Coturnix japonica: one gene and its partner. The protein of the gene in region 1 purifies or fractionates together with the protein of each later gene. This does not show direct contact. Links are inferred from orthologs where the notes say so. Each region holds a gene or a part of one and is shown in the gene's direction. Other genes may lie near its edges.

What was found.
Region 2: the proteins of SRSF4 (region 1) and LARP7 purify together in Homo sapiens (affinity purification with mass spectrometry; 3 studies listed by BioGRID and IntAct, with this or other methods). This does not show direct contact. The link is inferred for Coturnix japonica from reciprocal best matches to the Homo sapiens genes SRSF4 and LARP7.

The regions. Positions count from the first base shown.
Region 1 is NC_029538.1:2,451,019-2,455,352, reverse strand, and holds the start of SRSF4 (serine/arginine-rich splicing factor 4), read left to right. Parts: upstream 1-1,389; 5' UTR 1,390-1,436; coding exon 1,437-1,543; intron 1,544-4,160; exon of another isoform or gene 4,161-4,334. Other genes in the region: MECR (enoyl-[acyl-carrier-protein] reductase, mitochondrial), read left to right, coding at 1-15, 126-289. UniProt on the Homo sapiens protein: Plays a role in alternative splice site selection during pre-mRNA splicing. Represses the splicing of MAPT/Tau exon 10.
Region 2 is NC_029519.1:51,156,704-51,160,513, reverse strand, and holds part of LARP7 (la-related protein 7), read left to right. Parts: intron 1-517; coding exon 518-636; intron 637-3,100; coding exon 3,101-3,260; intron 3,261-3,810. UniProt on the Homo sapiens protein: RNA-binding protein that specifically binds distinct small nuclear RNA (snRNAs) and regulates their processing and function.

The DNA.
Region 1 (4,334 bases):
GGAAGAAGGACCATGGTGAGCTGCAGGCTTTGGGGTTAGGGATGCTTTGGGGTTGGGTTTGGGTTGGGTCAGCGTTCAGGGTGGCAGGCAGGTCTGGTGACAGGGGCCACCTTCTTCCTTCACAGACAAGCAGAGCATGGCCAGCATGGTGGATACCCTGTGCCAGATGGTGCGGGAGGGACAGCTCAGCGCTCCTACCTGCACTACAGTCCCCCTGGAGGACTTCAAGAAGGCCCTGGCAGCCTCTATGCAGCCCTTCACCTCCTCCAAGCAGATCCTCCTGCTCTGACCTTGCAAAAATTGTTATTTTTTTTTCCTTTTTTTCTTATTTCAGGTATTAAAAGCCTCTGGAATTTTACAGAGGCTGCACTGAACAGAGGCTGGGTTTGCTTCTGGAGGGAGACTTGGGTCCCATTTTAGCTTTGTTGCAGCTGAAAGCCTGGGCTCTTCCCTCAGCCATCTCAAGGGAAAGGAGCAGATTGAATTGCAAAACCACTATTGAAGATATTAGTATTATTATTCCTTTTTTTATTGTTAATTTTTCCCTACCTACATTCAATGCTGGGGCATTCATGCAGGCTGGAGTTATGTGGGACAATGTAGGTACATTTTCTACCCCCTGGGCTCACCCCAACAATGTGATTTTGCCAAGCCCTGGACTTGAATTCAGTTTTACTGCTGTTACTGAACCACCCCAACTTCTGATGGTGGAACACGCAGGGAAACCTCTTGGAAATCAATGCCTTGATATATCTATTTTTGTAAGACTCTTTGCCAATAAACATTGATGTGCTCATTCTGTTGCTCCAACAGCTCCTGTAAACTCTCCCTGTTCCAAGCTCAGGGCTGGGAAATCCCATAGCTCCTATAGGGAGGCGCTGGTGGGCTTTGCCCTGTTAGCACTGTGGGGTTTGGGGTTAGTGTTAGGGTTAGGTCAGCTCACCTGGAGCGTCGAGCAGGACCTTATGGAGAGCAGAGTGGGCAGCTCTGTGCTTGGATGGGTTTCTTGTTTTGAACAACAATTACAGTCCCTCTTCACATTCTTGGGGGCAAAAATCAGGCTTTTGGGGTCTTCTGATAGGGAGTAAAAGAATGAGGCACTGAGATCCGCGGCATTTAATTAACGTTAGAACAGTCTGCTGCGGTGTGGGTGGAACCCCATGGTGAGATGGCCCCTAACATTGGGGTGGAATCCCATGATGAGGTGACCCCCTGGACCCTAACACTGGGGTCAGTATTTTAGACCAGGTGGGCCCACTGCTGCCATGCCCCTTTTAAGAGCCATGAGGTGGGCCCACTTCTGCCATGACCCTTTTAAGAGCCATGAGGCAGACAGGTGGGCGTGGCTTACGCTGACGTATTCCCCCCCCACACTCAGCGCTGCGCGACGTCGTGACGTTACGTCGCCGTTTGGCGCCGCCCCCCCCCCGGGCGCGATGCCGCGGGTGTACATCGGCCGGCTCAGTTACCAGGCGAGGGAGCGGGATGTGGAGCGTTTCTTCAAGGGCTACGGCAAAATCCTCGAGGTGGATCTGAAGAACGGGTGAGCACGGCTCGGTTCGGCACGGTTGGTCGGTACAGAGCGGTTCGGTCCCGGCCTTACGCAAAGCGGCGGCCTTGTGAGGAGGGCTGGGCCTCGCTGTGAGGGGAGGTGGCGGATGGGAGGGATGGGGAAGGGGGTTTGGGGGGGGTGTAGGGGTTGGGGGCTTGGGGAGATGGGGGTGGGGGTTTGTGGGATGTAGAGGGTTTGGGGTGTGAGAGGGTTGAGGGGGGGGTGATGGGGTTGGGGGGATGTGGGGGGTTTTTGGGGCTTATGAGGCGGGCTTGGGGGGTTGCGGGGGGGGGGGTTTAGGGGTTATGGGGGGTTTGAGGGGGTCTTGGAGGGGTTTGAAGGGGGTTTGGGGGGGTTTGAGGGGGCTTGGGGGGTTATGAGGGGGATTGGGGGGTTTGGGGGATGTGGGGGGGTCTGAGGGGTGTGGGGGGGTTTGGGGGAATTGTGAGGGAAGTTTTTTGGGGTGATGTAGGGGGAATTGGGGTGGATTATGGGGGGGTTTGGGGTGTATGAGGGGATTTGGGGGCTTTTGGGGGGGTTTGGGGGGATTTGGGGGGTTTGAGGGGGTTTTGGGAGTTGTGTGTGGGGTTTTGGGGGGGCTTTGGGGGAGGTTGGGGGGATGGGGGGTTGGGGGATGTAGGGGTGATGTGGGAGGTTTGGGGAATTGTGGGGGGGTTCGGGTGGGCGTGTTAGGGGGCGTGGGGAGCAATGTGAGGGGCTTGGGGGGGTGTAGGGGGGTTTGGGAGGGATGTGAGGGGGTTTGTTGGGGGTTTGTGAGGGGGTTTGGGGGGATGTGAGGGGGACTGGGGGGATGTGAGGGGGTCTGGGGGGATTTAGGGGGTTTGGGGGGGGGTGTGAGGGGTTTGGGGCATGTAGGGGGGTTTGAGGGGTTGTGGAGGGATGTGTGGGGGGGCTTTGGAGTGATATGAGGGGGTTTGGGGGATTAGGGGGGTTTGAGGGGTTGTGGGTTGGGGGGGTTGGGGTTGAGGGGGTTGGGGGGATGTGGAGGGGGATGGAGGGGATGTTGAGGGGCTTTGGGGGGTTGTGAGGGGTTTTGGGGGGATGTGAGGGGGTTTGGGGGTTACATGGTGGGGTTGAGGTGTGTTGGTTTCCATTGTAACGGGGGGGGTGGGGGCGGGACAGGTGGTGCTGGTGCCGTTGGGGTGAGCTGGAGGTTGGGATGGCTTAGGGTCTGTGTGGCTCTATAGGGCATCCACTGGGAGGTGGATGTATAACAGGTTCATAAGACAAATCAAAGCAGTTATTAAAACAAAGAAGTGGGCACATATTGGTGCTTTAGCCGGATAATATTTTAGCCTGCTCAGATATTCAGTTGCACATTGTTGAAGCTCAAGGAGTATCTTGTTTTCATGTTGATAAAACCTCTGTAGGAAATGCTTCTGCTATATAGGCAGATGTCAGTGGGGGAGAACATCCTTCGTTAGCAGATATAGATCTACCAAATAGCTCTGATACACCTAATGGGCTTGTCCTCTTTCAGTATTGAGAAATGTCTTTTAAGAATCGGCCCTGTAATGCATTTAGAAGTGCTCAATGGAGAGCTGCATTGAGCTCAGGTGGCCAAAGCTGGAAGCATCACTTAGGATACCCTGAGTGCCAACTGCAACGGGCTGCAGAGTGAAAGGGAAGACACAGCCTATACCTACAGTGCAGGTACCCTGAATGTGACACTAAAGTTCACTTGGGGTGAGTTCAAAGGCTGTGGATAACTGGAGGGATGCAGGAAACTTGGTGTGATCATCTGCCTTGCTGCCTGCTGTTTCTATAGTAGGTTACTCCAGCTGTGGGTTAGATAGAGCTCTGCATGTGTTTCTAGGATGAACTCTTTTTAGGGTGTTATCCTGAAGCTGCAGGTCTCCTGGTGGCTCGTGCTTCGATTCCAGTTGGGCATCAACTCAAACCATCAGATTTGCTGCTGTTCTGCTCGAGTTTGCCTCGTGTTCAGTGTTTGCTCCATCGCTTTGTTTGCCCAATGATCCTTTCTTGTCAGCTTATTTTTAGTAGCGCTTAGCAAACGATTAAAAATGACTGCACGGTGTTTCATTCTGTAGAGTCTTTCAGTTTCTTCTGGAAGCTGGTGGGTTGTTGGCAGTTCTCAGCCTGCAGGAGATCAGCCTGTCAGTATTTTAGCAGCTAAGCTGAAGTGCTTCAGCAGTAAGAGAGACTGGAATGTGATACAGTGGAGTTCTGAAGGCTTTGCTGGGTCTTGCTTGCTGCTAGTTGTAACTTAAGCTTGCAGTTCAAAGTCTTTGAACAACGTTTACCTGAGGGAACAGCCAGAGAATGAACATCTCCTCCTTGTAGCTCCTTCCATTCCTGTTTGAAGTTTCTGGTTCTATGCTCATATAGTTCTCACATATTTTCCTACTCAGGACTTCACGGACATCTGGAGCTGTGCACGGCAGTTGTGTGTATTAAGTGACCAGAAAATTGGACTTTTCAGCCTGCTTTTTTTTTTTTATCTTCTGAGGAAAAACCAGCAGTAATAACTTGAAAGCTGGAAGCTTTTGCTGGCGGTGAGACTAATTTGCAATCATACTTGCTTTAACAAATAATTCTGTCTGTGTACTTACCTGCCCTGCATCACCCTGAGCAGCTTCTGGTGTTCATGGCTTCGCCTTGGAGAAATCCTTGTAAGAGGAGGGATGTAACTCCTGCAATGCGTTGAGGAGCAGAGATCAAAGCCGAAAGCTTCGAGCTTCGATTCTTTCATCTCTCTAAGTTCAAAAAGTGTGTTTGTTGCCTAAAGAAGTGATTTGAT
Region 2 (3,810 bases), on another chromosome or scaffold:
GTTGGCCTGTGTTGTTTAACCATCCCTTCTAAGGGCTACAAAACTGTTAATCTAAAGCATTCAGAAATGCCTTATAATGGGGTTTGATCAGGTTTATAGCTAGAAGTTAAGCTGCATATTCTTGGATCTACTAGTATATTTTTCTGAAATGGAATTGTTTCCTCCCATCCCCACCTCAGGATCCTCTTTCCTTTCCCATTTAGTGAATTGAATTGAATTCAATTGAAATTGAATTGAACTTCGATAACAGACTTGTCGTTTATTTTAAATCACTATAGATTCAGGATTTGGTTATTAACTGTGATGAATAGAAGAAAAAATATTCTAGGGTGCTTGTGAAGCTACGATTTTTTTTTCTTTTATGTTATTACATTAGAGAGGAATCTGGATCCACGATTTTAAAATATGTTCCTTTTTCATTTCTGTGTACATCACGTTGCTTCTGTGCTTTTGTAGATTTTGGCTTGCCAAACTGATAAATGTGAAATTTCTTCTCTCCTTTTTTCCAATCCATCAGCCACCAGTGAAGATGGTGCCCCTCCTGTCAAGGCTAACACAATGGGGCCCCAGTTTGTGAGTGGAGTAATTGTGAAGATCATTAGCACTGAGCCCCTGCCGGGCAGGAAGCAGATCAAGGTAATGCCTTTGTAACCTCAGGGTAGCTGTTAGCCTTTCCTCTTACAGTGCCACCCAAATGTTTGAATATGGAATACGATTTAAACAAATTTTAACGATATTTTTTTGTTTGTTTGTTTGATTACCTGTAGCTGTGTTCGGATTCCTCTCTAGTACCTGTTAATGGAAGAATTTAGGATGGCAAAATAGGGTGAAGAGAATGTTTCAAACAAGATGTAGCCTTTTGAGTGCTTCAACCAAGGCTGAAAATAATGGCAGAAATAAATAATGCTCTGGAGGATGAGTAATTGTCACCTCTACCTCCAGCCCTTCTTGTTCTGTCTTTTCATTTGCTGTGTGAAAAATGTGGTTAATGTTATACTGCTAAAAGTAAATCACTGCTGAGACCAATCTTCCGTTTCAGGAATAGGAGTTTGATGTTGTTGGGTGCACCTTTTTCTGTATGTAATTGTGCCACTAGTTTTGGTACAAATCAAATGAAGGAATCCATAGTGGTAAATTGTTTTTGCTTCGGTATGTGGTGATTTGTTGTTTTAGTTAGTTAGTTTGTTTTTAACAACAGGAATTTGGGGTTAAGAAAACATATTGTATGAGAAAGTTGTCATTTGGTTTTAACTCATGTTAGAATAAATGTGCAGACCACTTATAATGGGAATGGATCTAAACACAAGTTCTGAGGTAGCTTACCATACTACTTAGATATCTAACTGTACATTGTTGGGAGCTTTCTACTTGCAAGTGTGTGAAGTTGAATGTATGCATAAATACTAGCAAGGTTTGAAGGGTATTTTTCACTGAAAAGGAATTGATGATACATGAGGTTTCACCTTAATCAGTCTTGTCTGCCTTGGTATTTGTAGGCAGTCGTCTGAGTACTGGAGGCACTGAGAATGTGGTAGTTGTCACTGTAACGTTTAAGGCCAGTTCAGTTTGACTGCAAAGTACATTTTATGTAGTTGAGTTTGTGTTGTCACATAACACATTATGCTCAGGTAGGGCAGAGCTCATTTTCAGCTACTGCTGAAATCATAAACTTCCAGTCTGGTATTTCCAAATAAAACAAATTTAGTTTTTTTCTTTAGTTTAAGAAGAACATTTCAGTGAAAGTAAAGACATAACAAGATTGGCATGGCCTTTATTCTTGTTAATAGTTGTTGTGGTTTCCATAATAAGGCAAAATATTATACAGAATATCTCCAAACAAATGAGGAAAGATTTTTAGGAAGAAATACAGTTGTAAAATACATCTGTAGTTGGAACAAACAACAATCCTCAGGATGCTCCAGCTGTTTCTCAGCTTGGCAGAGGGAACTGCAAACTATACTTGACATTCCCTGGCTGACTTGTGGCTATACTAGTTGCTTCTGTGAAATGTTTAACGCTTCAGCAAAAGCCTTTACTTTGTCTGTCCACCAGGTCTGTCATATCTACAGCACTGCTGCCGCCAGACAATGCATTTAGGTTTTTCTTAGTAAATTTCCAGTATTTCTTCTTGCATGACAGGCATGGGGAACTTCTACATACCTGAAAGATCTTTTCAGTGCAATTCTAATGTTATTTTGATATTTTAGTTTTTTGCTGTGCTACTTCCATTTGCTCCCCTGTTTCTCAGGGGAGAGAAACTTATGTGTTGTGTGAGTCTTAATTTAAAAACCAAAACACGATGACTTTGGGTTATCAGAATGAACAGTAGTTTTGATTCTCAAAGGATCTCAACAATTTTGGTGCTTAGTTTTGTTTTGCTTAAGGTTGTGCTTTGTAGTGGATGGGGTTAAAAGCAAGTAATTCTTGAACAGTAGCGGCTTGAGCTGCCTGCTGTGAACAAAATGGACTAGGAATGTGTGGTTTTAGTTAATTTCCCTAACAGCAGGTATTACAAGTGAAGTACTTCATCTGAAAGAGCATGTGTGACTCTTCCTCCTTCAGCTGTTAGTGAAAATTTTCAGGCAGAGATCACTTCATAAAGATAGGAAGGACTGTTTTGTTGTTTTGTTTTGTGTTTTTTTTTACTTTTTAGATTATCTGCCTTAAAGGAACCTGTGTGTGTGGATTTCATATGTAGGAAGACCCTGAATATTTTTCTATTGGAATGACGCTTTTCAGTGTTACAACACTTATTATTTTCTTTTGAAGGAATGTTAGTACAGATATAGTTATTGTCCGTTTTGTTTCAAAACTAGTGTTCCATTAGTCAAAATTGTTCTTAGGAAAAAGAAATATCTGTAGGAATTACTGCTTAAAATAGTTCTTGGGAGCACAATGAGAGGTTAATAGCTGTCTTAAAGTTATGGGCTCATCTTATGAAAATATATTGACTCAAAATTATTAGACAAGTGATTCAAAAATTGTTACTACTTTCTACTCCATAACCTTCTATGAAAAATGAGTGCTGTTCTACAAATTGTGTGGTCAAAATAGCCACTCTTCTGTACTCTGAAGTCTGTGTTCTCACACACCCTGATAGGATGCTTTGGCAATGCTGGCTGATGTTGCTTATGTTGACATGCTAGAAGGAGACACAGAATGCCATGTCCGTTTTAATACTCCTGAGGATGCACAGACAGTCATGAAGTCTCACAAAGACCTACAGATAAAAAACAACTGGAAATATGAAATTCTTACTGGTAAGTCTTGGTGCTTATTTGTTGTTTTGTGTGGTATTTTTGTTTGTTACCAGTTTTTTTTATTAGTGGAAGGAGACAAATGTATATCTTTACAGCTACAGTGGCTGACTATAGGTCATATCTTTTATGTATATCATGTAGTATTGTAATAGCTTTATGGATAAAAATTTAAGTGTCTTTGTAGCTGTTGAGCAGACTTCTTATTATTATATATTGTATATTTATTTCCTATAAGTCTTAACTTTTGACTGTAATGGAATTAGTAAAATAGTGAGTGTTCTTAAGCCACTGTATAGAGTGAAATAGTTGCTTTACTTGCTCTGATCAATTTAATTCTCTTCTTTTGAGACTGGTTTCATCACTACCCTAGATCTAGACTATAGAACTTAAGGCACATTTTGGCCTTAGGACTATAACATTCTGATAACTGGCAAGAATTTAAAATGAAAGATACCAAACTCTCAGCAAGGTTATGCTTTAACACCTACCTTCCAGTTAATCTATTTATTTTTTTAGGAGGTTCAATAACTAATGGCTGTATTATGCTTTT